7 linked regions of the Ovis aries genome follow. The protein of the gene in region 2 interacts with the protein of the main gene of each other region in a pairwise test. Links are inferred from orthologs where the notes say so. Each region holds a gene or a part of one and is shown on either strand. Other genes may lie near its edges. The genes, in order: HNRNPM, LMO2, ZNF24, TLE5, ABI2, TAL2 and IFT43.

The links.
Region 1: the proteins of LMO2 (region 2) and HNRNPM interact in binary tests that used the Homo sapiens proteins (3 or more experiments, as listed by UniProt). The link is inferred for Ovis aries from reciprocal best matches to the Homo sapiens genes LMO2 and HNRNPM.
Region 3: the proteins of LMO2 (region 2) and ZNF24 interact in binary tests that used the Homo sapiens proteins (3 or more experiments, as listed by UniProt). The two-hybrid records come from large-scale screens. The link is inferred for Ovis aries from reciprocal best matches to the Homo sapiens genes LMO2 and ZNF24.
Region 4: the proteins of LMO2 (region 2) and TLE5 interact in binary tests that used the Homo sapiens proteins (3 or more experiments, as listed by UniProt). The two-hybrid records come from large-scale screens. The link is inferred for Ovis aries from reciprocal best matches to the Homo sapiens genes LMO2 and TLE5.
Region 5: the proteins of LMO2 (region 2) and ABI2 interact in binary tests that used the Homo sapiens proteins (3 or more experiments, as listed by UniProt). The link is inferred for Ovis aries from reciprocal best matches to the Homo sapiens genes LMO2 and ABI2.
Region 6: the proteins of LMO2 (region 2) and TAL2 interact in a two-hybrid assay, tested with the Homo sapiens proteins (2 studies listed by BioGRID and IntAct). The link is inferred for Ovis aries from reciprocal best matches to the Homo sapiens genes LMO2 and TAL2.
Region 7: the proteins of LMO2 (region 2) and IFT43 interact in binary tests that used the Homo sapiens proteins (3 or more experiments, as listed by UniProt). The two-hybrid records come from large-scale screens. The link is inferred for Ovis aries from reciprocal best matches to the Homo sapiens genes LMO2 and IFT43.

What each region holds. Positions count from the first base shown.
Region 1 is NC_056058.1:14,800,700-14,804,981, reverse strand, and holds the start of HNRNPM (heterogeneous nuclear ribonucleoprotein M), read right to left. Parts: upstream 2,801-4,282; 5' UTR 2,781-2,800; coding exon 2,668-2,780; intron 1-2,667. UniProt on the Homo sapiens protein: Pre-mRNA binding protein in vivo, binds avidly to poly(G) and poly(U) RNA homopolymers in vitro. Involved in splicing.
Region 2 is NC_056068.1:63,296,662-63,300,888, reverse strand, and holds the start of LMO2 (rhombotin-2), read left to right. Parts: upstream 1-1,427; 5' UTR 1,428-1,569; coding exon 1,570-1,576; intron 1,577-1,699; coding exon 1,700-1,931; intron 1,932-4,227. UniProt on the Homo sapiens protein: Acts with TAL1/SCL to regulate red blood cell development. Also acts with LDB1 to maintain erythroid precursors in an immature state.
Region 3 is NC_056076.1:22,076,439-22,080,568, forward strand, and holds the start of ZNF24 (zinc finger protein 24), read left to right. Parts: upstream 1-1,330; 5' UTR 1,331-2,113; intron 2,114-3,299; 5' UTR 3,300-3,378; coding exon 3,379-3,798; intron 3,799-4,029; coding exon 4,030-4,130. UniProt on the Homo sapiens protein: Transcription factor required for myelination of differentiated oligodendrocytes. Required for the conversion of oligodendrocytes from the premyelinating to the myelinating state.
Region 4 is NC_056058.1:18,528,392-18,531,272, forward strand, and holds part of TLE5 (TLE family member 5), read left to right. Parts: intron 1-648; coding exon 649-712; intron 713-2,055; coding exon 2,056-2,100; intron 2,101-2,725; coding exon 2,726-2,788; intron 2,789-2,881. UniProt on the Homo sapiens protein: Transcriptional corepressor. Acts as a dominant repressor towards other family members. Inhibits NF-kappa-B-regulated gene expression. May be required for the initiation and maintenance of the differentiated state.
Region 5 is NC_056055.1:205,328,360-205,332,473, reverse strand, and holds the start of ABI2 (abl interactor 2), read right to left. Parts: upstream 2,801-4,114; 5' UTR 2,763-2,800; coding exon 2,646-2,762; intron 1-2,645. UniProt on the Homo sapiens protein: Regulator of actin cytoskeleton dynamics underlying cell motility and adhesion. Functions as a component of the WAVE complex, which activates actin nucleating machinery Arp2/3 to drive lamellipodia formation.
Region 6 is NC_056055.1:17,406,267-17,410,396, forward strand, and holds TAL2 (T-cell acute lymphocytic leukemia protein 2), read right to left. Parts: upstream 2,801-4,130; coding exon 2,483-2,800; 3' UTR 281-2,482; downstream 1-280.
Region 7 is NC_056060.1:85,438,774-85,442,710, reverse strand, and holds the start of IFT43 (intraflagellar transport protein 43 homolog), read right to left. Parts: upstream 2,801-3,937; 5' UTR 2,773-2,800; coding exon 2,719-2,772; intron 478-2,718; exon of another isoform or gene 263-477; coding exon of another isoform or gene 257-262; intron 1-256. UniProt on the Homo sapiens protein: As a component of IFT complex A (IFT-A), a complex required for retrograde ciliary transport and entry into cilia of G protein-coupled receptors (GPCRs), it is involved in ciliogenesis.

The sequences.
Region 1 (4,282 bases), on a different chromosome or scaffold from region 2:
TGACTGTCCTTAGATGGATGCATTTCTCATCAATGTAAGAAAAAAAACAGCCAGCTTACAGCTGGCAGAGAAAAGGAATTGCAAAACAGGTTGTGCTTCCCATGGTCCTCATGCAGCTTGCTGTCTCAGTGCCTTTTCAGCTTTCAGCACACTCCACTTCTGGTGGATACAAAGGTGAGAAGAATCTAGTCTCTCATTTCCCATCCCGCAAAAGTGGCTCAGCTGATAAACCACTTGCAATGTGGGAAACCTGGGTTCGATTCCTGGGTTGGAAAGATCCCCTGGAGAAGGGAAAGGCTCCCCACTCCAGTATTCTGGCCTAGAGAATTCCATGGACTGTATGGGGTCACAAAGAGTCCGACACCACTGAGCGACTTTCACAAAATCACAAAAAAAGCTCTCAAGATAAAAATCTGAACTCCCTAGTCTGGAATTCACTGCCCACCAGCTGGCCCCCAGTGCTCCAGCAGTTTCAGTTCTTTACAAAGAAAGTGAAAGGAAAATGAAGTTCCTTATAAATATATATCAAACATGTCAAAATCTTTGAACACTCCTCTGCTTCCCTCCAATGATCACCTTTCATCCTCCTCCTCCTAGGGGAACACCTGGTCGCCCCCAGCAGCTTAGGGTTGGAGGAGGGGAGACCCTCCAAGCTCCCCACCCCTGGTAATGCCTTTTACTTATATCACTTTACTACAAAAATATCCATTGGCCCCTCCCTATGAGCAGGGGGACTGTTTTCTAAAGAGTTCCGCTTTAAAAGCTCCCCGATGCAAAACACACACACACACACAAAAACACCCAAAATACAAACTTTTCCAATGGCCCTACAAAAAAGACCTAAGTGTTCCTAACAGCCTAAAATATTCTCTATTTAAACAGTCTCAGACTGAGGTTCTTCCAACAAAGACTTTTAATTTCTGAAACCTTCAGATTTTTTCTGAAGGCCATGTTTTATGTTTGTCAAATGAATCAGTCACAAAATGACTATTTGGAAATGGACTGTGGAAAATGGGAAATTTGGAAAATGTACCCCAGATGCTATAATCTGTAACTAATAACTTCTCACCTAGCACGATTCTAGCAGCACTCCATCCTGTGATAACCGCTTTGAAAAGGAAAAAAAAAAAAAAAAGACATAAATGTATATCTTAAAGGCCTCCAAACATAGTCCTCAAAAATCCTACCAGGCTCCCTTAAACAAGTTATTTTTAAAAAGTCTAAATGAACACGTCCCTTTTCAGTTTTCAACAACAAAAGAGTTGGGATTACTTCTAGGATGCCTTTTTCTTGATTTCCAAGGTATTTCGCTCCTCCCTACCTCAGGAGAGAGAGTTTAACAATATAGCTAGTATTCAGTGAGTGTTCATTAGCAAACTAACTACATTCACTTTTAATCCCCATGAACTCTAATTATACACATTAAAAATTGGTGGGAAGGCAAATCCATAGGAGACAGAACGCATAGCACAGGTATACAGGAGAGGTGAATGGTTAACTGTTTAATGACTACAGTTTCTATTTAGGGTGAGGAAAAAGTTTTCAGCGTGGATACTGGTGATGTTGCACAAAACCGCGAATGCACTAGATACCACAGAATCATCCACCTAAAAATGGCTGAAACTGTAAATTTCACCAGATTTTTTTAAAAAAATGTATGTGGGAAATCAAAAGTGTGCCCAAGCCTTCCCCTCACCTCCCCCTACAGTTGGCGGGCGAAGGCAAAACGTCTTTCCGCACCTCTCAGGCGACTGTAATCAGAATGAGTGGGGTTCAGCGGAGACACAAGACGATGCTTTAAAGTTTTAAGAAAACTTTCAAAACAGAAGACCTGAGACAGAGCCCCCAAAAGGACTCGAAAGGGTGACCGAGTTTGGAAATGGATGAACCCGCCTAATGATGCAAAATCTTCCCCTAGAACATGGAAAATGTTTCCCTTTTTCTTTCTTTCCCCTTAGACTTTGTTTCTACGGCTGAACACTGAGCAGCAGATCCGATCGCTCCACAAATACCTACTGCTCACCTGGGGAGGAGCTGAGGCTTGGGGCAAGGGGCGGTTCCGACCGAGGCACTTCCCGCGGGGCCTGGGGGGTGGGGGGAGGAGAACCGCGCGCGCCGGGGCGGAAGGGGGAGGGGGAGTCCGGAGCCGTCCTCGCGGTCCTTCCCGATACCTACCCGCCTCCGCTACCGTTTACCGGGACCGACCGCGCGCGAGGTCCTGCGTGCGCACTCCCTCCCCTATCCCCCACTTTACGGATCGGGAAACTGAGACCCCGGACGACGGCGAAGAGACGTGAAGCCACGCGCCCAACCAAGGTCACCCGACAAGCCAGCAGGTCGCGGACTCCGGGTCTCGTCGGCTCTGGGGCCCGCGCGCCATTATCCCTGCGCGCAGAGGCCCGGCCTTAGGCCTCAGCGTCGGACCCGGTCTGGAGAGACCAAAGGAGCTGAGACCTGATGCCTGGGAGGGAGCGGTCCTACAGGCGCTCACGGAGCCGCCCGGCTTCCCCCCTCACGGCCTGGCCCGCCTCCACCCTCGGCAGACCCTGAGGGGAAAGAAAGCCCAGCTGAGGCCGCGCCGGGAGGAGGCCCCAGCAGATCTAACGGAGCCGCCGCCAGCCACCGCGAAAGCGCCCAGCCTGGAACAAGGAGCCGTAAAATACTCACCCTTTCGGGCCCGGAGCTCCGTTGCCGCTTGGCACGCCAGGCGCGCCGCTCTCCTCCTCCATTTTGGGCTCCGTCGCCGCCACCTCGGCCGCCGCTTCGACCCCTGCCGCCATTTTCTCCGCGTCTGGGCTTTGTGTGAGCGAGAGTGCTGCGCGGCGCTGCGCCTGCGTGCTCACGTGACTCGGCGCGACCAGTAACGCCTGCGCGCGCCGCGGCGGCCTCCGGTCTCCTTCCCTCTGGACCCGGGCCACGCCCCTGCTCCGGGCCACGCCCCCGCCGCGCGCTAGCACGCACAGTCCGCTGTTATTAATTCATTCTTGCAACAAACTTGTTTGGCGCCTACTGGATACAGTATCCGCTCTCCAGGTGTAGTTGTTATTATGGCTCAATCGTGTCCTATTCTTTGCGACTCCATGAACTGCAGCATACCAGACTTCCTCGTCCTTGATTATATCCCGGAGTCTGCTCAAACTCACGTCCATTGAGTGGGTGATCCCATCCAACCATCTCATCCTCTGCCAGATCTAATGAGGGAGGCATCTCTCCACCCGCCACACCTGGACCTCGTCACTCCCAGCTTTGTGTAATCCGAGCTGGGGTAGAATGACAGCTAAAGGTCTGTTTCCTAGGCTATAAAGGAGTTAGCCAGGCAAGGGTAGGACACCGAAGGGCCAAGCAGTAGGACAAATGTGCAAAATGTTAACAATGTCTCGTTAAGAAAGTATCTCATCCTACACAAGGAATACCTGGGCTAAATCCGGCGTAAGAATTCTGAGTGCAGAGCCCGTGGCCCAAATCTCTGTCACTAAACAGCCATCAACTAACAACAAGGTGTCTAGCTGGAGACTTCCTTTGTGTTTATGAATGTTTGTTAAGTGAGTGCGCAAGCAAGAAGCCAAACCTGTTGATAGAAATTACATGATAAAAGAGACGATTGGACTCATTCCTGCCTGACCCTGCGTCCTGCTGCTCTGAGAGCTTGGCCCTGTCCTCAGATGGGTTTTCAGGGTTGATACAGGGCTGTGTTCTGGGGCAGCCACAGTGGCCTGGGAAGAGCCCAGAGCCCCCAGCACTCAGTCCTCAGGCTCCCTTCCCCAGCAGCCGCCTCTCTCTCTGGTGTCTCTGGTACATTGCAATGTTTCACTGGAACTTGCAGACATTCCCATCTAACCCCCAAACTCTCTCTAAACTCACAAAGGGAAAGAGTTTTGTTGGTTTGTTCTTGTTCTTGTCATTTTACCCTCTCTCACCGAATAACTACATTTCATCAGCCTCTGGGAAACTCTCCCACTTGCTACACCTTCCACCAAATTAAATACTTAATCCAGCCTGGTGATTCTGACCCTGGCTGAGAACTGCAGGCCCAGAGAATAAATTCAGTAAACTCAATGTGAGGCAGAGGCTAAGCCTCTCTCTGCTATGGGGGTTTGGGGGCTTCCCAGGTGGAGCTAGGGCTTCCCAGATAGCTCAACTGGTAAAGAATCTGCCTGCAATGCAGGAGACCCTGGTTCGATTCCTGGGTCGAGAACATCCGCTGGAGAAGGGCTAGACTACCCACTCCAGTATTCTGGCCTGGAGAATTCCATGAACTGTATAGTCCATGGGGTCGCAAAGC
Region 2 (4,227 bases):
CCATAGGGACCTAAGCTTTGGACATGGACATAAGAAAAGGACAAGAGCATGCAGACAATGGTAAATTCTAGGTATGCATGTAAGAAGTTAGAATCAGCTTTAAACAAGGAAAACGAAGCCTACAGGGATGTACTTCTGACTTCACCTTCCAGGGTGATTTCATCCAGACCCTTCAGTGCCATCTTTAAAAAGGGAATACAGTGTCCATGACCATGATCTAGACTGCTCCTATAAAACCATGGATCCTGAGAATACTGGTAGTTTCTTCTTTACAAGACTTGTGGCACGCTCAAGTAGGCCTTTAGTAATAATTTCTGAATGCAATTATTTTCAGGGATCTCTGATGAGGCCCAAGGGACCTAAAGCTTTGCTCTATTGAAGAGAAGACTTTTAGCTTCCTCCTCTCCCGTTCTACATTCGCCTCTCTTCTTGGAGTTTGCCCTTGAGATTAGATGGGGAAGCCTGAACCAAACAAGTCTGCGTTCTCTCTCTTTTCCTGACCCAGGGCAAAATAGTCTCCAAGCATTGCTCTCCATCATTGGAGAGGCACTTTTCTCTGTGAAGAGTGCTATTGGCCCTTTACGGGGCCAGTTTAACTGTAGGGGTCCGATTTTTAAAGATGCTGAGGGAGGGAATTCTGCCGCCGGCAGATGGAGAGGAGACTCAGACCAGCTTGGTCCCTCCCAAACACCCTCCCTCGGGATTAGCTGCCCCTGGTGCTGCTGAGGCGTACCCAGCCCGTGCGGTCCCTGCTCGCACAGCTCCCGTCGTCTTTTTGGAGCGCGGACGCAGTCACAAGTCCTCAGCCAGCAGAGCCGCGCTGTCTTGGGGGCATCTCCGCGTTCCCTGGCCGCGGACCTGGGACCTCCAACCCCGGACGCGCGCGAAAGCCACTTGGAACGCGTACATCTCTGTATGTGTTTATTTCACATTTTCGTTTTTTCTTTCTTCCTTGAGCGGCCCGCTGGTCACTTTCAATCTTAGTTAACCAAAAGGGGAACGCCGAAGAGGGAAAGCCCTAAAGAATGCTTCACAGGCAACCCAGCCGCCTCTCCAAGGAGAGGTGGTCTCTGAGCGAGTCTCCCTTGTCCCCGACGCTGGCCCCTTTAAGAAGCCAACTCAGTCTTGCTGCGGCTGCCGCTGTTTGTATCGCTAATCCCCAGGAGCCCCGTTTAAAAAAAAAGGGAAGAAAAAAGATGGTGGTGGCGGGGGGGACCGGGCAGCTGTCTCTTTAAATGTGATTTCCTTCTATTGTATTTGAATCGTGATCAGGAAAAAGGAAATGAAACCAGAGACAGAGGGAAGCTGAGCGAAAATAGACCTTCCCGAGAGAGGAGGGAGCCGGGGGAGAGAGGCGCGGTCCCCTCCCCGCCCCCAGGCCGCCGCCCCCTCCCTGCCCTCGGCGGCGAGCTGCGCGCCGCGACCCCGGCTGAAGGTGCGAGGGGCGCGGGGCGGCCGGGCGGGCGCGCACCATCCCCGCGGGCGGCGCGGAGCCGGCGACAGCGCGCGAGCCGAGCCAGACCCGGCGGCGGCGGCGGCGGCGGCGGCGGCAGTGGCGGCGGGACCGGGATGGAAGGTTAAGTCCTGAGCAGCAGTAGCAGCTGCAGCCGCCCGGGGCCAGGCTGCGCGCCCCGGTCCCCTCCTCGGCCGCGGCGCGCCGGCAGCCCGGTGATTCGCTCTCTCTCTTTGGCGTTTGAAGGGAGCGCGGTGACTGTCCTTGAGCGCGGAGGGGCGAGCTCGCCGCCAGAGCGCCGGAGCAAGAAGAGGCGCAGGAGCGGCGGCGGCGGCGGCGGCGCCCGAGCACCCGAGGGGGTCCGAGCCCCGGCAGCCGGCCAGCCCCGCGCCACAAAGGGAGCGCCCCCGCCGCCTGGCACGCCACCTCCCTCCCCAATGTCCTCGGCCATCGAGAGGAAGAGCCTGGACCCATCTGAGTAAGTGTGACGCCCCTGCCACCGAGGGTCCACGGCCTCGCGACCCGGAGCGGCGGGGTGGGGCGGGCGGCCGGCGGGAAGGCTCCAGGTGCGCGCCCGCGGCGTGCCCTTGGTTCCCTCTGCCGTGCGCGGGGCTCCCGCATCCTCTTGGGTGACCCCGGGGACACTGGGAGAGGGGCTGGTGGCGGGCGGCAGGAATGCGGTCGGCCCGGCGCCTCAGCGGGCCCCTCGCGGCTCCCTGGGACGCTCCCTAAAGCCACTTCGGGCCAGAAAGTTTGCACAGGAGCATGCACAAGGGGAGGTCAGAGGCGCGCCGGTGCAGTCCCGAGAGCCTTCAGGACTCGATTCTGCTCCCTTTTCCCCTCTCGTTCCTTCTCTTTGTCCGTTTGGTCCTGGAAAGGGGGACACTACAAGTGGAGCCCCCCACCCCGGGTCCCCGACGGTCCCCTTCCGGGTCCGCAGGTGGAGCGGTTGCCCACGGCGCCGGGGACCCACGGGTGAGGAGGTGCGAGAGTTCACCTCGGAGCTCACCCAGGCCTCCAGAGACTTTAGAGCAGCCGAGCAACACGGGAGTTAGTCTGGATACGCGGACACGCCTCTCCCCTCGGAGTCCACCGATGGGTACCTTTGAACCTCCAAAGTTAGTGCACCATTTTGGATATAGGTGAATTTTTCCGGAGAGCGGAGTCTTAAACGGCTTTTGTCACAATCTCAAAGGGTTTAGGGTCTGGGAAACAGAGCTCTAAATGAACCGCATTTGTTTTCTGAGCCCATTGCTCAGTGTTAACATGGGGAGAGAGGGATGTTTAAGATGTCATTTTCCCGTCAGCGCAAATGCCCTTTTAAGATTCATTAGCTGTCTGGTTTTGAGAATTTTTATTCCTTTGAAGTCCCCATCTAAATCCTTTGAAGGGATTTGTTACACAGACCAAAGGAGCTGGTTAATGACTTGTCCATTTGTGCTTTTAAGAGGCATTTGTTTTGTTTTGTTTTCTTTTCCTGCTTTAAAAGAATTGTGCTTTCCTGATTGAAATACCTCCTCCTCCCAATTTCAGCCTCCTATGGTGTTTATATACCTGGGTTTTACCAGCATAAAAGCTCAGCGTGTTCTCATAAAACACAGGAAGTAACCATGATCCAGTGAGAATATAAACATCACTATTCAATCTTGAAGGTTCAGAAGCCAGATCTACAAGGAGTCAGGTTTGTTCTAACAAAAACCCAGCTTCCTTAAATTCTCAGGGAAAAAAATAACATTGCTTTTTTTTTTTTTTTTTAAGTATTTGTTTAGGAAAACTCTGGGAAGGGTGCTTTGCTCACTTTTTTTTTTTTTTTTTTTTTACAAACCTAGAATGATAACTTAGCCCTGAGTTTTCAGAGCCTGGGCAAGATGATAGTAATACAATAAGAGAGTGCATTGGATGAATTACCTTTGAAAGGTGCCTAATGCCTTTTCGATCAATAGAACTTAGTCACTAATCTTTTTATTAGAAGATAAATCTGGAGGTTTCAGTTCCCTGAAGGAAGGTTGCTCCTTTCAAAGTTTGTGCTTTTTCACAAAGAGACTGGAAAATTGAAACATGTTCACCTCATAACACAGCAGGCATCTGCGGAAGGATGCTCAGTAGGGTGCTCTTCTCTATCCTTTGCTTCACTATTTGCCCAGTGAAGATAGGCTTTAATTGGAGATGGACCAGCTAGCTGAGAAATTATTGCAGAACATTTTTCCCCCATATCTTTCTTGGAAACTGTTGAGAAATTATCCCAGAAATCCAGGCCAAAGTGTATTGAGGTGTAATGTTCAGATAGGCTCTAGGAGAATGTAAAATATTAATTAGAGGGTGAGTCCCACAGTTATTGGCTTGGAACCTCCACCAAAGATAATGTGATATTATCTTTAATTATAGAAAGATAGAGCCAATATCTTATTCAGTCCTTTCCTATCTCATATTAGGCCATCACAGACAGTAGCTTTTTGGCTTAACATTTCCTCCTGTGGACCACTACCCTACCAGATGCTTCAGTGAGTACATACTTGGGTCAGTGTGACTGAGGTCAGTCTGATCAGCAACTCCAAATTACACCCAGAAACTTGCCTAGGCCTATGCAAATGAAACATTTAGACAGAAAGACAGCCAGAATTCACACACACACAGATTTCCTCTACTGTGCCGTCGGTGGCCCCTCCTGCCTCCCTGTGAATAACAGGAGCAGTTCATTTCAATTCCAGGCAGTTTTGCACCAGCTAAGTGCAAATTCTCTTCTTTCACAGTTGGTTGGCAGGATCTGCGTCAGG
Region 3 (4,130 bases), on a different chromosome or scaffold from region 2:
GAGGATGAGATGGTTGGATGGCGTCACTGACTCAATGGGCATGAATCTGAGCAAACTCCAGGAGACAGTGAAGGACAGAGGAGCCGGGGTGCTGCAGTTCATGGGCTCACAGTCAGACCAGACTTGGCAACTGACCAACCACCGTGTAGCAGGCAGTCAATATCCTGGGATTACTATGTGGAGATACTGTGGTGAATAAGGCAGGCACAGTCTCTGCCTCTATGGGTCTTATGGACAAAAGCAAAACAAACAAACAAAAAAATAGAGAAGTGAATAAATGAGATCGCTTCTACCCAGTGCTATGAGAGAGGGGAGGCTTCCAGGAGGAAAGGTGGTCAGGAAGGCTGAGGATCCAGACCACAATGAGCCTATAGAGCTGGAGAGTGGGGGTGGGGGCAGGGAACAGACTAGTGGGGCCTTACAGGAAAATGTAAGGAATTTTTATGTCATAATTAAGACAGTAGGGGAAGATTCCCCTGAAGGAGGAAATGGCAACCCACTCCAGTATTTTACCTGAAAAATCCCAAGGACAGAGCAGCTTGGCCGGATACAGTCCATAGGGTGGCAAACACAATGAGCAACTGAGCACAAGCAGGAGTAAGGCAGTTAGGGATCCATTAAACGTCTTTACATAGGGGAATTAAGTTGTCTGATTTCTGTTTTTAAACGATCACTTTGGCAGCTGCTTTGTAATATAAACTGTCAAGCCTCAAGTCAGAAAATGACCACGCATTCTGCAAATTCAGTGTGAGCTCACTGCCAAAGCTCTTGGTTAAGAGTCTCATCTTGTTTCCCTGACAAGTAAACTGGTCATAATAAAGTTGTATGGCATAGCAAGTAGGAGGCAAAGGTGAGAGTCATGCCTTGGTTTCAAATCTTGTTTCCCACTCACCAGTTATGAGCACTCCGCAAGCTATTTACTTGTGCCTCAGTGATCTCAGCTGTGAAATGGGAATAACAAAAGTACTTACTATCTCAGCGTTGTTGTGAAAATGAAATTACATGTAAAGCACGGTGACAGTGCCTGGTACAAAGTAATTAACATTCATAAATATTCATAATACTTCTTTCAGAGAACTACTGTGACGATCACATGAGATAATGCATGTGAAAAGGCTTATGAAACCGTAAAGACTGTCTTAGTGGCAGAATTCTTTCTTTTCCTTGTCTTTCAAGCGGAACCCAGAAGGCTGCGATACCGGGGGAGGAAGGCGCGAGGCCAAGCGCAGCCTCAAAGCAGTCATTGTCGTTGGACAGCCCTTCCCCCGGCCCAGAGCACATCTCCATGGCAACGTGGGGCTTCGCCTCCCCCCCGCCTCCTGGGGCCCACAGACCGGAAGCAGTCCGCGCCGGGGGCTGCTGGGAAACGGCTCGTGAGCGGCGTTTCTGCGTCGGCCGAGGACAGCGAAGCGGCTGTGGTTCCCGAGCCCGAGGTTTGCGCGAGTTGGGGGGAAGGGTGTGAGAGACGCTGGCCTGGGGGCTGCAGACTGCTTGACAAGAGTCAGCGAAGAAGCCTGGCGGGAACCTTCCTCGGCTTCTCCCAGAGGCGTGGGGGACAGGCCGCGGTCTCCGTGCCCGGCACTTGTGGGACGGGCAAGGGAAGACGAAAAGCCAGATCGGGCTTTCAGCACCCTCGAAGAGTCCTCCATCCCTTGTGTCCTTCGCGACCCCCGACTTCCCCTCCCCCATCGGCCGGTTTTGTTCTATTTCGAGGCCCTGGCATCTCGCGGAGAATTCTGGGATTCTTCTCGGGCGGAGGTGGGAGTGGGCGGGCCTCGCGCGGGGCCTGCTGGGACTTGTAGTTCAGCTGGCCGCGGGCGGAAGTGCCGCGGCTCGTTTGCTGTTGTGGCCGGGTGGCATTCGGTCTGAGGAAAGCCGCCGCCGCGAGTGCAGGGAAAAGGGGCTGACGTCGTTGGGGTGGGGGCGCGGTTCGAAGCGGCACTCTGCAGGAGTGCGTGGGGAGGTCACTTGGGACCGGGCTCTCCGCCCAAAGACGGTCGGGACCGCGGACCTGCGCTCCCCGCAACTCCTCACATCCCACCGCCAGAGTGCTGTTTGAGAACGTAAAAGGAAGAGAAATGTCTTTTCTGTAGAGTGCTTGAGCCGTAGAAAGGTAGGGTCTTGGAATAGAAACAGATCTGTAGGCCAAAGCTACGTGTTTATAAGGCCGCCACACTCCAGAGTATTTAATTAAACTTGTGTGTATGTTACCTGATAAGATCTTTTCTGATTCCTAGTTTTGGTAGGGTTACAGGAAGTTTTTGGAAATTAGCTTTCGTATTCTGGGGCGTATATGGGTACATTGAGCAGCTGCGTGGCTCATTCTTAACGGGTGTTGTAGACAATGGCATGGGCATGACTGTGCAAATACCAAGGAAAGGATCAGAAATAGCACAAGGTTTCCATGAACGTAGTAGCTGGGGAGATTGTGAGTCATTCAGTGTCAGCGGAAGAATCTGCACCACAAAGGTGTTACGAGAGTTCTTTTTTCCCCCTAGAATTTGCTGATTAATGCCTGTCGTTCCTAATTTAAAGGTATTTATGGTGTGGAGGGTAACTGAAAAATAATTAAATTTTATGGCACATAGTGGTTCCTTTTTTCCAACATTATTATCTATTCCTGACCAAGTGAATTTTTTTAACGTGTATTTAAAGTCCTAGGAGTTCTTAAACATTTAAAAAATAACTGTTAAACGTTTTGTGAAAAAAAGTTTTTTTTAACAGATAGTAAAAAAGCAGTCCCTGCTTTTGAGATGACCTAAGTGTGTCAAGGAACACCAGTATTGAATTGTAGATAATGTGTTCAAGGGTCAGATGCATTTAGATAACACTGAGAAGGGCTGGTTCTTAACTTGGATTCTTTTGATTGTTGAAATAGGTTTTGTTCATAGGTTGGCAAACTTTATCTCTAGAGGACCAGGGTAAATATTAGGTTTCTCATGCCCTATAGTGCCTATTGCAACTACTCAACTCTGCTATTGTAGTGTGAACAAATGAGTAAAATTATTTATGGAGACAGACGATTTAATTTCATGTCATTTTCACATGTAATGGAGTGTTCTTTTGATTTTTTTCCAACCATGTACAAGTGTGAAAACTATTCTTAGTATACGCATTGTACAAAAATGGGCAGCTGGCCAGATTTGGTCATGAGCTGTAGTTTGCAAACTTCTAGTTCAGGTTATTGATTGGCATTTTTAATCTAGTAAAAGAACACATTTTTATTTCCTTTAATCAGTCTGTGTCCAGGTTCTTAGAATATTTAGTCATTTATAAATTTTTCATTTCTTGTGCCTCAGGAGTGCCTGTGAAGAAAACTGGGTATTTCCCTAAGGTATCTTGCCTTGATTGTCTTTCCTTGAAGTATCACAAATCAGGATGTCTGCACAGTCAGTGGAAGAGGATTCAATACTTATCATCCCAACTCCAGATGAAGAGGAAAAAATTCTAAGAGTGAAGTTGGAGGAGGATCCTGATGGTGAAGAGGGGTCGAGTATCCCCTGGAACCATCTTCCTGACCCGGAGGTTTTCCGCCAGAGGTTCAGGCAGTTTGGATACCAGGATTCACCTGGGCCCCGGGAAGCTGTGAGCCAGCTTCGAGAACTTTGCCGTCTGTGGCTCAGGCCAGAGACACACACAAAAGAACAAATCTTGGAGCTGGTTGTACTGGAGCAGTTTGTTGCCATCCTCCCCAAGGAGCTACAGACTTGGGTTCGAGAGCATCATCCAGAGAATGGAGAGGAGGCAGTGACGGTCCTGGAGGATTTAGAGAGTGAACTAGATGACCCTGGACAGCCAGTAAGTTTCCTGTTAGGAGTACTGGCGTAGCAGTATTCACAGCTTCTGAATTAGTTCCACTCAACTAAGTTAGAATTATGTTTATGCTTCCCCTCCCCCCCCTTCATTATTTATGCTGCTTTGCCCTCTAGGCCTCTGCAGCATATGTTTTGTATGATTTCTTTGGTGTGTGTTTTAGTTTTGATTCTCATCAAATTCCTTCTCAACTGAACCAATTCCTATCATTTCCAGGTTTCTCTTCGTCGACGAAAACGGGAAGTGTTAGTGGAGGAGATAGTATCTCAAGAAGAAGCTCAGGGATTACCGAGTTCTGAGCTTGATGCTGTGGAAAA
Region 4 (2,881 bases), on a different chromosome or scaffold from region 2:
GGGCCTTTGAGAAATATCCAAAGCTCATCCTTGCTGGGGCAACCCAAGAGAGGAGGGGGATCACCAGCTCTATTATCCAGTGATAGAAATTTATACCCCTCCCCCAACCATGGAAATCAGAGGTCACAAGATGGGCTGGGGGCCTTTGAAGATTCCTTACTGAATTCAGTCCAGAGCCCTGCCAGTGGGCTCTGGGCCCTTGTAACCTCTCAGCAATGTCTGTTTATTCCTTCTTTGCTGGAGAGTTTTGCCCAGTGGGTGGGAGTATGGCCTTTGAAGCCAGCTTCCTGGCTGTGTGACCTTGAGCCTGTTCACTCAACCTCTCTGAGCATCCATTGCATCATTTTTATGAAGGAGACTGACGTTAACAGCCCTGACCTCGTTGGATTTCATGATAGGAAAAAGTTTCTTTGAATCCCTGTCTGACCTACAGTCAGGATATTTGCTCTGACTTCTGTTTTTATTATTTTCATTGCTTTCTCCACCCCCACATCTTCAAGGTGGGTTTCATCATCCCCAGTTTCCAGCTAAGGCACCTTTGGGTCCCCTTCCCCCCTCTTCTCTCTGACCCCCACCAAAGTTTGGGGCTCCCTTGCACAATGAGGGGGACATCATCCCAGCCCTGGCCCTCCCCCTCTTCTTCTTCAGTCTGAAACTCGAATGTGACAAGCTGGCCAGCGAGAAGTCAGAAATGCAGCGTCATTACGTGATGGTAAGCCAGCCCGGGGGTCTGGTGGGCAGGGCCAGAGGACCCCAGGTCCCCCTCCAGCACTGGCAGCTGCTGTCTGAACCCTGGCCATCTCCTCTGGGATGTGCGAGAAGTCAGGGTCTGCTCTCCGCTCAGCCAGCCCCTGGCCGGGCTGAGTTAATCTTGTTGGCCTGGCTGCCGGCCCAGGCAGTGGCCGAGGTGCCAAGCCACCGGGTTGCGGCCTGGGCCTGCCAGGTCCCTGGCTGTCCTTGGCAGCGGAGGAGCCAGTGGCTGTGAAAGCCAGGAACTGGGGTTAGAGGGGGGTTGTTGATCCCTCCCCTCCCCACCCCCACTGTCTAAGCATCCCAGGCTTAACCCCTCCTAGTCCAAGCTTGGAGGAGGACTCCTGGAGGGCCCCCTTCCCCAGGCAGGAGGCTGACACTCTTTTGAGGTGGGTGGGTGGAAGGGAGGGAGGGGGTGACACTTCCTTCTTGGGCCTGACATTGGAGACCCTGCCCCTGCACACTGCTGGAATCACTTGCTTCGCTTCATATGCACCAGGTGGTGATTTCTGCATCAAAACCCCTGCCTAAGCCCAGCCCAGAGCCCACTTCCCCCAGGCCATGGGGGAGGCAGAGCTGGACAAGGAACCTCTGGATTCAGAGGGATGGGGCTGGGGCACTCCAGAAGGGTATGCTCCTGTTTGGAGAAAGACTGCATGGAGAAGGAGGCACTGCAGCTGGGGTCCTGATGAATGGATAGGAGCCAGCTGGGCAGAGAAGGGGAGACCACACAAACCTGGCTTTCTCCCCCTATCTTCCCTGGGGGGTGATGGGGAGTCATAGGAAGGTTTAGAGCAGGGGAGGTGCAGGGTCAGATGTGGGGCATGAGGAGGGGGGGCGCTGGCCCCAAAGGCAGACCCAACAGGATTTGTTTATCCTCGATTATTTATACCCAGGAAGACAAACTTCCCTGGAGTCCGGGGCCACCCGCAGACAAGACACATAAAGATAAAAGATTAGGAGCCTTGGAGTGTGTGTGTGCCTGTGTGTGTGTGCGTGTGTGTGTGCGTGCGTGCGTGCGTGTGTGTGTGTGTGTGTGTGTGTGTAGGGGTTGAGGTCATTATTCCAGAAATGGGGCATTCAGGGCCCCACTGGCGTCCCTAGCATCCTCACCAGGCACCTGGGCCCCAGCTCCAGGTGTGGGTGTCTCCCCGCTTCCGACTCCATCTCTCTCGCCTGCCCTCCCCTCCTCCTACCTCTCTCTTTCTCCCCCTCTTTGTCTCTCTCTGTCACTTCCCCTGTGTCTTTTGTCTCTGGAACCTCACATCCTTCACCCACCCCCATTTCTGTCTCCCCCCTACACAGTACTACGAGATGTCCTATGGCTTGAACATCGAGATGCACAAGCAGGTATGCCCCCTTCCCCCCTCCTCCGCCCCCCTGCCCCGCCCAGGCAGGTAGGAACCCGCCACCCCTTGGCTGAGAACCAAGACTGCCTTGGTATCCTGTTACCTCCGGAGCCCCCCCACTTCTGTTCTTTCTCAGGCCTCCCTGGGAGGTTGCTCTCCCTGAGGGGGAGGGCAGAGGCTTTCCCAGGACCTGCCACCCTCACTCCATTGTCTCTCTTTTGTGACAGCCCTGGGGGAGGGGGGTGATATGACCTGCCAACCCACCCTCCAAACCCTATCTCAGGTGTGTTAGAGAATTCTGATGCCAGCTGCCCCGACCTCTTCCTCCCTCCCTCTCACGGAATGCTCACTACCTGTGAGGCATCGGGCATCTTTCCAGGGCCACCCAGACCCCAAGCCACTGGGCCTGGATTTCGCTCTGTCCTGGGCTCTTAGCTACCCTCAGAGACTCAGCCCCCGGGGCCACTTTTGCTGCTGATCGGGTGCCCATGGGCCTGATGAGTCGATATGATCCTGGGACTTGCCGGCCTCCTCTTGGATTAGACAGAACCGCTGGGCTTTCCAGGGCTGGTCTGCACCTGCCCTGGCTGGCTGCTGCCCAGGGCTGAAGTGTCTGTCTGTTCCAGGCTGAAATCGTCAAGAGGCTAAATGGGATATGTGCCCAGGTCCTGCCCTACCTGTCCCAAGAGGTGAGCAGAGCCCCCGGGGGTCTGCTGGGAGGAGATAGACCCTGAACTTCCCTCAGCCCCACCCCTCTGTAGGCATCTGTGTGCCCCAGGGCA
Region 5 (4,114 bases), on a different chromosome or scaffold from region 2:
ACAGTATGCCTTTTCAGAAGGACACCACCATTTTTCTTCCTTTCCTCTATTTTTACACTAAATGTAATCCACATTTAGAATATTATCTTATTTTTATATTCTCATGCATAAAACCAGGCATTTAAGGATGCTGAGCAAAGAACCTTATCATGTTACCTATCAATAAATGTCTTTTTCCTGCTTTACAGGCAAAAACTGTCCTTGCACAAAATAAAATGAGTGTCAGGTGAAGTTAACTTGAGCTAGTGGTTAGGACATGTTGCTATAATAAGGCTAACCTGACCATCAGATCACTAATTGACTTGCATCTATTGCAGGGTCACAGGCTGCATCAGAAGCCCTGCTGGTCAGTTCGATGGTTACAGGAAGAGCCAGCCAAATGTGCAGCTGAGTCAGCACAAATCCACTATCACCATGTTCTATTTATCAACTTTACTACAAACAAATCATGTACGAGTTGTCATCTGTTGAGAGAACGCCAATAATATACCCACTGGATCCTAATAGCACCTATTTTAGGTTCTAAATTGAAGAAACAAGGTATTTTAAAATCCAAATCCATTTCTATTAATCAGCACTTATATTCTGAATTTTAAAACACCGCATTAAATTCTGAGTCCCACCGCTAAGACAAATGATGGCAGCAACATTCTTCTCCTTTGAACCGCAAGGAATATAGTGATGACAATGGTTGATCGCTTCACTCTCTCAGCTTTATCAACTCAGGTACTTTTACCTTTAGGTAACAACTGCAACCTAAGAGGAACTATACCTTCAAATTACAATAAAAATTATCTTCCAAACAAAGAGAACTTTTTTAAAAAAAATTAGCAGTGATAACTGCAACCCAATCACTTTCCACCCTGTTTCTCTTCTGAGACCTGTAACTCTTTCCCATATGTTGCACAAGGAATTGTAACGACTACTTCAGTCCTTTTAATTTGCCTCTCCTAGAGACTCTGAATTTCCAGAGTGAGGATAGCATAGTTTCCTCCAGTCCTTCTTCCCACCTGCAGCCCATTAAGAATATAAACTGACGCTCAAAATGGAATTCATCTGCTAAAGATCAGCCTTCCCACTAACTATACAATGAAATTCTGTAGACACTAGCTACCTATCAACTCTTAACAATGCCAGGCCATATTACACTTTCAAATATATTTAGTGAAAACTAAGCATCTCAACCTTTTACTCTCTCCTACCACACTCAGTATCAGCAAAGCACCCCATGAATATGGACATCTGTACTGTCTATATGAGCCTTTGACCCAAGACACACTCTATCTTTTCCTGCTGGCCATACTTTCAACTTTCTCTTTGGAGGGAAAAGCCTTGGATTATGTCTGATTCATTCTCCAGTACAAATATTCCATACAAGAAAATATAGTGCTCAGGATATGTCCAATCAAGTAATATCTTACAACACTATCCTTGATTAACCATATGATCCTTACAAAATTTATGAACCTATAAATTTTAACACCTTTTTTTTCTTTGGTTCACACCAAGACTTGAGAATGCTTCCCAATATAGCTGATGTTAGGAAAGATGCCTGGAGAGATGGAGGTGGGAGAAGGAAAAAAGGCCATAGTGAAGGAACAATTTAACACATTGCTTCCATTTCCACCTATATCCCAAGAGAATTTAAATGGGAAGGGAAAAGATGGAGGTAGAACCTATGATTCAGAATAAGCTATAAAGAAAACAAAAGATGCTGACTTTGCAAACTGTGCATCTTAAACTATCCTTTCAAATAATTTTTTAAAAAGAATTGTTTTTAATCACATAATCTTGCTTCTTCCAGAAGAGGCTCAATTTCATCTCACCCAATACCCCCCGCCTTCATACACAAACATACAGTGCTATCACTGAGTCCCGATGCCAAACCAACCATCACGGAAAATTTAAACCGTGAGAATTATTTCCCATTTCTCTCTGAAAGATAATCACAAAAAATTTCCCTGCAGGCAAATTAGCTATTTCTAACGGGCTTGGAGGCGGGTGGCAGAAGGGAATAAACCATTATCATGCAGCTTCTCATTCTCCATAGAGAAGAAAACTGGCATTAACTTCCAACAAGGGGGACAGCTGCTCTTATACTGTATCCTCAGTTAGAACCTAAAAACAAGGCAAAAAAACCACGCTGAGCTTTTGATACATTCAAATGAATATAAAGCTACGGCATTTTACTTTGCAGCAATATAGCGCCTCAAAAATCCTCCAGAGATTGGGGGCGACCCATTAAACCCCAAATCCTTGCCATATGGGGGAGTAGGATTCTGTCAAATAGAAAATGCCACTCTCCGCCTCCTCCGCCATCGCGAAAATTGACCGGCACCGATTGCGGAGGCGGCCGAGGGAAGAGAGGAGGCGGGGACACACACACGCACACACACCCCGCACCGAGAACTGATTCACGGCTTTTGAAAAATGCTTGAAAGCTACAATTTCCTCCAACCGGAGAATTCTCACCCATTCTCCCGCTCCCACCCTGCTTCTACCCCTGCTCAGCTGCACTGTGTCCCTGCTGCGGCCTCGGCCCCGTGTGCCCTACGCCCCCAGGCGCGGCCCCCGGGCCGGGGGTCCCCCACGCGCCGCTCAGCAGCCAGAGGCCCAACACGCCCAGGCCGGCAGATGCGTCGCACCTGGATGTAGTTGTTCTCGCAGTAATCGGCCACCCGTTCCAGATTCGTGTAACTGTCGAAGAGGGCCCGGCGGCCCCCCGGGATTTCCTCCTCCAGCAGCATCTGCAGCTCCGCCATCTTCACATCCTCCTCCTCATACAGACCGCAGAGGCAGCGGCGGCAGTAGCGCCAGGGAAACCCAAGACTAGGAGAGGAGGAGCCGAGGCGACGGCGGCGGCAACCCGGGAGGAGCGAGAAACACCCCCTGAGCGCGCGACAGGGGAGGGGGCAGCGGGAACGGGGGCGGGGCGCGAGCCGATGGACTCGGAGGACGGTCACCGCGGCGACGGCCGGCCCGGCGCGCGCACGCGCGCTCCTCTCCCTCCACCCCCGGGAGCCCGAAAAAGGTTCCCACCCTTGGTCGCGCCGCCCGCCCCTCCCCCACATCCGGCGTCTCCTAGCGACCGCGGGAGTGGGGGCCGGGATGCGCGCGGGAGTTGAGCTCGCGGTTAACCCTTCGGCCCCCGCAGGATGCGTGGCTGGGGCAGTGCACCCCGCGGCCTTTGTTAGTCCGGCGTGAACGCCCACCCGGCTCTGCGGTCTTCCCGCCCGCTTCTTCAGCGACTTTCCTCGGCGTTATCCTCAACCTGGGGCCCAACCTTATGGTAGTGGGCCTGAGGGATAATATTAGCCCCACTGAACTCCCATGCAGCTTTAACTGCGCCCCACTTTTAATTTTTCTCATCTTTGACCGTATTCATCCTCTTTGGATAAATAAATTTCAGTTTCCTAATCCCAAATTTCCTGCCCTCCAGCTTCTTTGCACCTGTTTGCCAATCAACAGTTTCCCCTGCCAGGTTAGCCTCGGTTCTTTTCTCCTTTGCCCATCCTCTGGCCTTCAGCTTTTCCCACTTGCTCTGTGCTACTCTTCAGTGACAATCGTTTTTATCACTTTCCTGAGTCTATCAACTTTTTTCCTCATCTACTAAGGATTTAAAGTTTAAAAAACGATTTTGCTGGTACTTTCCTTCCTCACAGGGCTATTACATGGATAAAAGTTTATATGAAAGCACCTTGGAAAACGTTAAATGCCACAAAAATTCAAGGTAGACCATTTTGGTCTTGCAGTTACTATTCTGTATTGTATATTTTTTTTCCCCTAAATCTGACTACTCCACACATGTAATTTTTAAAAACTGAAATTTCTGACAACTGCTGAGATATTATAAAGTCCATGACCTTTATTTGTACCATGGAAAGTCAAAGCTGACTGCCTTTGCAGTTTAGAGCAAGATCTATTATTTCAAGTCTTGTATTTGTGATCTCTTGGCCCGCCTAGTGATTTTGCCCCTCCTTTTTTTTTCTCCCCTGATAATGAGGAAATTACTGTCTCAAATCACTTTAATGCTTTCCTATTGTTTTATTGGCTTTTTGATATACACATTGGCAAATTGTTTTGAGTTTTTTCTGTGTAACCCAAGTTAAAGGAT
Region 6 (4,130 bases), on a different chromosome or scaffold from region 2:
GCAATATTACTCAAATGACAACTGTCACCAGAGTTTTGAGATGTGATATCATGTGGTAGTTTGGGGACAAATTTAAGTCCACATAAGCTCATGAGAACAATGAAAGCTCATGAGAAAGAAATGCAAATTTGGGGGAATCCCGTGGTTTCTGTGTTTATGTGTTTGCCTGGACTACTTTGAGTCTGTGGGGATGTTTATTCAATGCTGTTTAAAGAAAGGACCTACACACAAGAATGCATTGTTTTTTTAAAAAAAATTATTTTATTATTCTCATTACTTATTTTTATTTTTTGTCCATGCTACACAGCATGCTCTTTTTTTTTTTTTTTTTTTCCATTTTTTTGGGCTCCAAAATCACTGCAGATGGTGACTGCAGCCATGAAATTAAAAGATGCTTGCTCCTTGGAAGAAAAGTTATGACCAACCTAGACAGCATATTAAAAAGCAGAGACATTACTTTGCCAACAAAGGTCTGTCTAGTCAAAGTTATAGTTTTTCCAGTGGTCATGTATGGATTTGCAAGTTGGGCTATAAAGAAAGCTGAGTGCCAAAGAACTGATGCTTTTGAACTGTGGTGTTGGAGAAGACTCTTGAGAGTCCCTTGGACTTCAAGGAGATCCAAGCAGTCAATCCTAAAGGAAATCAGTCCTGAATATTCATTGGAAGGACTGATGCTTCAGTTGAGGCTCCAATATTTTGATGCTCCAATCCACCTGATGCGAAGAACTGACTCATTGGAAAAGACTCTGATGGTGGGAAAGATTGAGAGCAGGAGGAAAAGGGGATGACACAGGATGAGATGGTTGGACGGCATCACGTACTTGATGGACATGAGTTTGAGTAAGCTCTGGGAGTTACAGATGGATAGGGAAGCCTAGAGTGCTGCAATCCATGGGGTCACAAAGAGCCAGACATTACTGAGTGACTGAATTAGCTAACACGGCATGTGGGATCTTAGTACCCTGACCAGGAATCCCACAACCCCAGCATTGGAAGTGCAGCGTCTTAACTTCTGGACCACCAGGGAAGTCCTAAATGCATTGTTTTAATAAATGCATTGTGCCGTTAAGTGTGAATGCTGTGTAGAGTTTAATGACATTATGAACTTGCTGTTTTGATAATGAGATTCTGAGGATGACTCATCCAGATTTCTTCTGATCACCAAACCAAAGAGGTTCATTTCAGCCTTCCATAAACTGAATATTCTTTCTAGAGTGGGCAGAAAATTTAAATTCCTCTATTGTGTATATATATAATCTCAAACCCATCAATTTCCTACCTATAGTTCAGAAGGTTTTAAAACCAATGTTCTGTCAAGAATTTTGGGAAAATAAAACATTCCAGAGATGAGACAATCAAATGACATTATTTATATTCTGGGCTTAACTATGGGATTCATTTTTTAATCCAAGCGTTATCATGGTGGCATACGGTTGTGAGTTCTGCCAGATCCACGCCTTTCATTCTTTTGTGGGCACCACCCCTCCCAGTGCAAAACTGAGCTAATGCTCCTCAGCAGGGAAAACAAATCACATATCCATCAATTCATTAGAGTCTGGTATTACACTCCTATTGTCTACTCTAAATCTTTTGTTAAGCTCTCTGTTAAATGAGCTATTAAATGGTAATATTTAGATTTTCATCATTCTATTTGAATTTCACAGGTCTTAAATCATCAAGAACTCATGCTGAATTGAAAGTTTTCAATACCTGACATGTGAAACTAAAGGATTAGGAAAACTATTTTAGTACTTCTTTTCATAAGAAAACCATGAACTCTCACAAATTATCATGTCCTTTCCTCTCATGGGTATAATGTGCCATTTGGCTTTAGCGATAACACATATACTCGTGGTCCAATGCAAGTGACACCTCACATTTCCATAGAGATAGAGGATGCAGAGCTCTCCTGCACATATCTGCTGCCTTCTTGTGGTCCTCATGTGTCAGAAGGGTCTTTTATCCACAGATTCCCCACAAGTCTCCAGGCTGGTTTCTGCAAGAGCTATCTTTTCATTTGTCTTATGCTGTTCACCCTTGATCACATATGCCTCATTTTTCAGAACAAACTTTAAAATATGTTCGGAGGGTAGCATTTTCTACTCATCGATCTGCGATCCATTTTGAGGAAACTCTTCTTACAACTGAAAACATATTACATAAAGCAGTGATTTTCAAACCAGTTTTTTCAGTCTAAGGGTCATTTTTTCCCCCCAAATAACATCTTATGCAGGAACCTGGATTTATAAAATCAACAGATACAGGCTGCTCTGCCTGAAGCCCCCGGGGAAGATGTGTGGCCACCTCCCTTTGGCCTTCTTTTAGCATTCTGCAGCTGACCATGAGACACCTCCTATGAAGCTTGAGTTCACGCCTCACAAATTATTCACCATGCTGACTCTAGTACTTGCAAAAAGGCTGTTGACAGCTAGTGACTTCTGAACCAGTGCTGCCTGGGGTCACAACAGCCAGAGCCCCACTATCACGGAATGTGGTGGCTTGAGCCAGGTGATGGAACCTGGTAGTCACCAAGCAGAGTCCTGTCTGGCAGGTGGGGTCCTTGAGGGAAAAGGCCCAGAATGTTTCCGGGAGCGGCCACTCCTGTTTGCTGTAGGCTCTGCTCTCCCAAGACCTTCACCAGGAAGTTGATGTACCTCATGGCCAGGCGAAGTGTTTCATTTTTGCTCAGCTTCTTGTCCGGAGGGTGAGTGGGGATGAGCTTCCTCAGCTTGGCAAAGGCACTGTTGACGTTCTGCTGCCTCCACCGCTCCCTGCTGTTCGTGAAGATCTTTCTGGTCATGTTGGAGTTCCTGAGACAAGAAAGAGAAAGGGCCCTGAGGGCCAACACCTTGTCAGAGGCCTGCTGGGTAGCCCATGTCCTGCCAGGAGCTTGAGCCGTTCATCTTTTCCACCCAGATCTTAGGGGATGTGCTGCCTCATTTCCAGGTGTTGTGGATCTTCCTGTGACAAGAGAAGAAAATGCGGCAGAAGAAAGGGCAGTGAGAACACCTCCTGTCAGCTTTTCTCTCCCTGGTTGTCTCGAAGCCTGCAGGTAACATGGTGTTTTTATCCTAATACTCCCGTTACTTCTTTTATAACCAACTCTTCCTAAGTGTTCAGAATCAGGCACGGCGTAGGACTGAGTACACATGAGAATAAAATACATATTTGTTAATAGGGAGTTGAATTTAGATTCTTTAAAAGGGGGGAGGGGGCTGTGATCCTAGGTTTCATTTACAACATAAATTAGGAATGAAGAAGGTGACAGCAAAACCCTTCTGGGTGGTGGACTTTATCTGTAGGATTGGGCGCACTGTGTAAGAGCTAAAATGTCTAGACCAGACCACAGTCAGAGGAGGATGAACAGGGTGAGGAAGAATCTTGAAGTCCAGTTGTATGAAGAATAGCAATGGGGTTATTTAGCACGCCAAACAAAGAAAAGGAATAGGTGAAGGGCGACAATTTGATATGGATGCTGCGGAAGATAGCCAGGCTCCCCAAGGTTGAATTTGGATGATCTTTCCAACCGTAGGCGAGGTGATTGTTATCACGTATTGCCAATCCTAATCGTGCCATTTTTTCCTCTGAGAGGCACAGGCCCCTTTGTTCAGGTGGCTTGGATTAACATACATCAATGGCAATGTTTATGGCACATCAGGAAATAAGCCAAAACCCAGCACCAGACATTTGGTACCCTTGGCTCATGGCTATCAGTTTGCTACCTGCTCCGGTCTCAGCAGCCTGGTCAGAGGGTCCCTTCCTGTTCCCCACACCACCACCTCCCCCCACCAAAAGAGTAGTAAATATTCCCAATTCCATACCTTTGCATTTTCTGTCCCATGAGTTCCCTCCTCACTGTTTACTTGCCTATTTCTACACAATCTTTAAAGAGCAGATTAAATCCTTCTTTCCATTCCTACAAACCCTTCCAGGCCATCCCAGAGTCTCCCATATCCTTCCCTTGCTGAACCCCTGCAGCCACTGGTGGTAGACAAAGGCTATTAGGAGAATTAAATAAGCTTAATATTTGTAAATCACTTTCAACAGTGCCTGACACACAGTAATGGCTATAAAAGTGTTGAGGAATAAATACAACAAAAATATGTTTATAAATAAAAATGACTTGTGAA
Region 7 (3,937 bases), on a different chromosome or scaffold from region 2:
TTCTACCCAAAGAAATGCAGCTAGAACTTCCTCTAGAAGGGACAGGGAGCTCATGCCACAGCTCAGGCAGAGTATGGTCAAGGCTCCCATGTCCTGATGTGGGATTTCAGGAGGGCCTAACTTCAAAGTTGCAGCTTGGCATGAAAATAGTTATCAAAAAGGCGTTTGGTGGGGGAAGAAATTCCATGGAAACTGAAACCAGAGAAATACAGATAGCATTTCCTTTGACGTATATGCTAATTGGATTTGCACTTACAGACATTAAAGGAAAGCTCTTATAAGAATTTTCTGAGACATCAGCTTTGGGAATCAGAACACTTCAAATTCTGAGTCATCAAAGGACCCATCTGCAGGTGTTTCCCAAAGCCCTCCTAGGGTGGAGGGCTCCATCTGTGTCTCCAATGCCTCCCAGCACATACAAACATTATTTGGGCAGACTGGAGGGTGTTGAAATGTTTATATTTTTCTTTTCTTGTTCTTAAAAAAAAAAAAAAAAAACCAGCATTACTGTAAGCATTTTTAGATCTCATCCGATGTAGCTTCATTTGATTTCACAATAATAGGGGCTCAGACTGAGGCCATTTTACAAATGATGTAATTGAGACCCAGGAAAGCAATAAAGTGGCAGATAAACATAAGAGCAAAATCTCTGCCTTCAAATTCTGAAGGCTTTTTCTGTGACCTGCTGGAATTTCAGTTCTAAGATGTTCTAAGATGATCAATAAATTGAGAGAAGTTACATGAGAGCTGCAAAAAAAACCATTATGTAGTGTTTACACATGAAATTCTAATCAATCATTTAGATTTCAGGAATGACAGAAACAATATTCAGACAATAAGCAGCTCATTTTCTTCCCAAGGTAGACAATTCTACTCCTTCACCTGTGGCTGCCCTTTTCCATATATGATAACATTGGGTATCCGAATATGGCATATTACACAGAGTGACTGTGGTCAAACAAAACTTCAAGGATCTTGTCTCTACTGTTTATAGATGGTTTCTCTAGTATATTTGTCAAGGATTTTAAGGTTTTAAACTTTTGGAAGACGCTGTATAAATCCATAGGAATGACTGGTAGAGAAACTACATTACTACCTGGTTTTATATATTTTAAATGTATGGTCTCGGGACTTCCCTGGTAGTCCAGTGGCTAACATTCCAAGCTCCCAATTCAGGGGGCCTGGGTTCAATCCCTGGTCAGGAAACTAGATCCCACATGCTCCAACTAAGACCTGGCACAACCAAATAAATAAATAAATATTTTTTTAAAAAAATAAATAAATAAATGTATGGTCTCTTTATTGCCCATCTTCCTCCATTGAAACATAAGCCCCATGAGGGCAGGGGCTTAGTTTTTCTTTTCACTGTTATATTTCTAACACCTAGGACAATCAATGCCTGATACACAGAAGGAGCTCAGTAAATATTTGTTGAAAGAATAAATGAGTAACTACACTCATTTTCTCCCGGTACTAAAAAAGTACACATATCAAGAAAGGCCTGATGACATAATATTCTCCTTGGTCAGTCAAGCAACCTGCTTCTTTCTAGAACAATTTGCTCCCATTCCTCATATCTCCTCTCTAGCAATTTGGAGGCTATCCGATGTTACTAGGGCACTTCAAGACATGTAGAGATTCCACGGCAGAAACTAAAGACTTGTGGGCCAATCTTTTGTGACCCTGATCTTCAGTAATTTTAAAGGTAAAAAGGCTTGGTGAGGCTGTGATGGAATTAAGAGACACACACCGAACTTGGGTCTTGAATCTAGCTCAGTTATCTATATATATACACGTGCTAAGCCGCTTCAATTGTGCCAGACTCTTTGAGACCCTATAGACTGTAGCCATTCAGGCTCCTCTGTCCAAGGGAGTCTCCAGGCAAGAATTCTGGAGTGGGTTGCCATGCCCTCCTCCAGGGGATCTTCCCGACACCCGGCTATAACCTTGGGTAAATCACGACCTCAGAAGCAACAGCCCTAACCCTAACCACAGCATATGCCAGTTGCTGTGTTACATGCTTTCCAGGCACGTCTCGTTTCATCTTCACCTCCTTGAAGGAGACATAAATCTCCACTCTAGAGAGAAGGAAATCGAGGTTAACTTTCTTTAACCCATGCAACAGCTTTACACTCCCTCTGACCTCTGGGCTCCCCACCTCGCCTCCGGCCACGCCCTCGCTCTTTAAAACTGAGGGAACGCCCATCTCCCCTGGGGGTGAGTGGAAAGAAAGACTCTCCCTAACTCCTTTCCCTTCGTCCACTCTGAAAACAGTACGGTTTTTACTTCAACTCCTGGCGTGACATGGCCAAGGGAAAAAGCTCTAGCATGAGTGCAAGTGTGACCCTCGCCAGGGCACCTCCAGTCACTCTCAGATCTATCTGTCCATCCTTGGGAAGTTGGCAAGTTGGAGCTCCAGAGAGCGGAGAGAAGCTGGGAAATTTCCCACCGTTCTCACAGGCCGGCAGGGGCAGGATCTGTTTTCCAGTCTTTGAGAATTTTAAGGAAAGCAAACCCTAGGCCAGCAGCGGAGCTCACCGCTGCCCCAGGGGCGGGGCGAGGGAGGCCGCCTCCTCTCCCGCAAGGCTCAGAGCCTGCTGGCTCCTGGCGCCAGGGACAGGCTGGGCCGAAGCGGCTCAGGGAAGCCAGAGCCGGCGGGGTCGCCCCTCCCCACCCGCTAATTCTTGGCCCCGATCCCCGCCCCGAGTCGGTCCTCACGGAGGTGGCCGGGCCGCGACGCCGCTCCTCGCCTAGGTCCAGCAAGTCCTCCATCTCTGCGGCTGCCTGACGTCACTTCCTGGAAACCCAGACGCTCAGCCGCGTCCCTGACGACGGCTCCGCCCTTTCACTCCAAGACTTAAAGGGTCCGCTTCATTGTTTCCTGGAGTGTAGGTGCCATCCTCAAATTTAAACCAAATCTTTCCTAAACCTACCTTTTATGACATTTGGAAGGAATCTCCACATATTAAATCCTGATGAGGGTGCTCCTGTGGGACAGTGAAAAGTTTTAGTTTTTAGAAACTGCCTACCTCTGTTCAGTTCAGTCACTCAGTCGTGTCCTACTCTTTGCGACCCCATGAACTGCACAGCACACCAGGCCTCCCTGTCCATCACCAACTTCCAGAGTTTACTCAGACTCACTGAGTCGGTGATTCCATCCAACCATCTCATCCTCTGTCTTCCCCTTCTCCTCCCGCCTTCAATTTTTCCCAGCATCAGGGCCTCTGTTCAAATAGGTAAGTTGTAAAGTGCAAAGCACTACTATTAATAGTAGTAATTATTCTTATCCTTTTCATGTGTATAGCTCTTGTCAATGTACAGAGGAACTTCACAGTTATTAGTGCATGGAAAATGCATAACAACTTTGTAGGAGACAAGATAAGTTATACTATCTCCATTGAACTGACACCCTGAGGGTCAGGTGCTAATAAATGACTTATGATGAGAAGTGCAATATACCTAATTTCTGCCTTCAAGAAGTTGACAGAGCAGTTGAACCAACACATCAAATATAACTATCAAAAGTACAAATAACCCCTTCAAGCCCCCATGAAGTGAGCAAAAGTAGTATTTCTATTCAACAATTGAAGACAGTGAGGTGCAGAACAGTACCTTGAGGAAAACCACCTGAGTATTAAGCAGCAGAGCCACATGCTTTTCTGACCCCAGGTCTTACTGGTGTTTTTCTCTGGCATGTATTACTGGGTGCCAGCCAGTCTCCTGGGCCAGTAGAGGAAGATGGTCCCCAAATTCCCAGCCTAATGGGACTATCGAGTTGAGTCTTCATTGACTCTACATATAAGGTTCCCTAATTCAATAACACTGACCAATCCTTGGTACTGGGGACTGCCAGCTGGGACCCCAGAACTTGAGTTCATGGCCCTGAAAGTGAAGTGTCTCCAGCATCATCCTAGGCATAAGGCTTTAGATGGCTTCT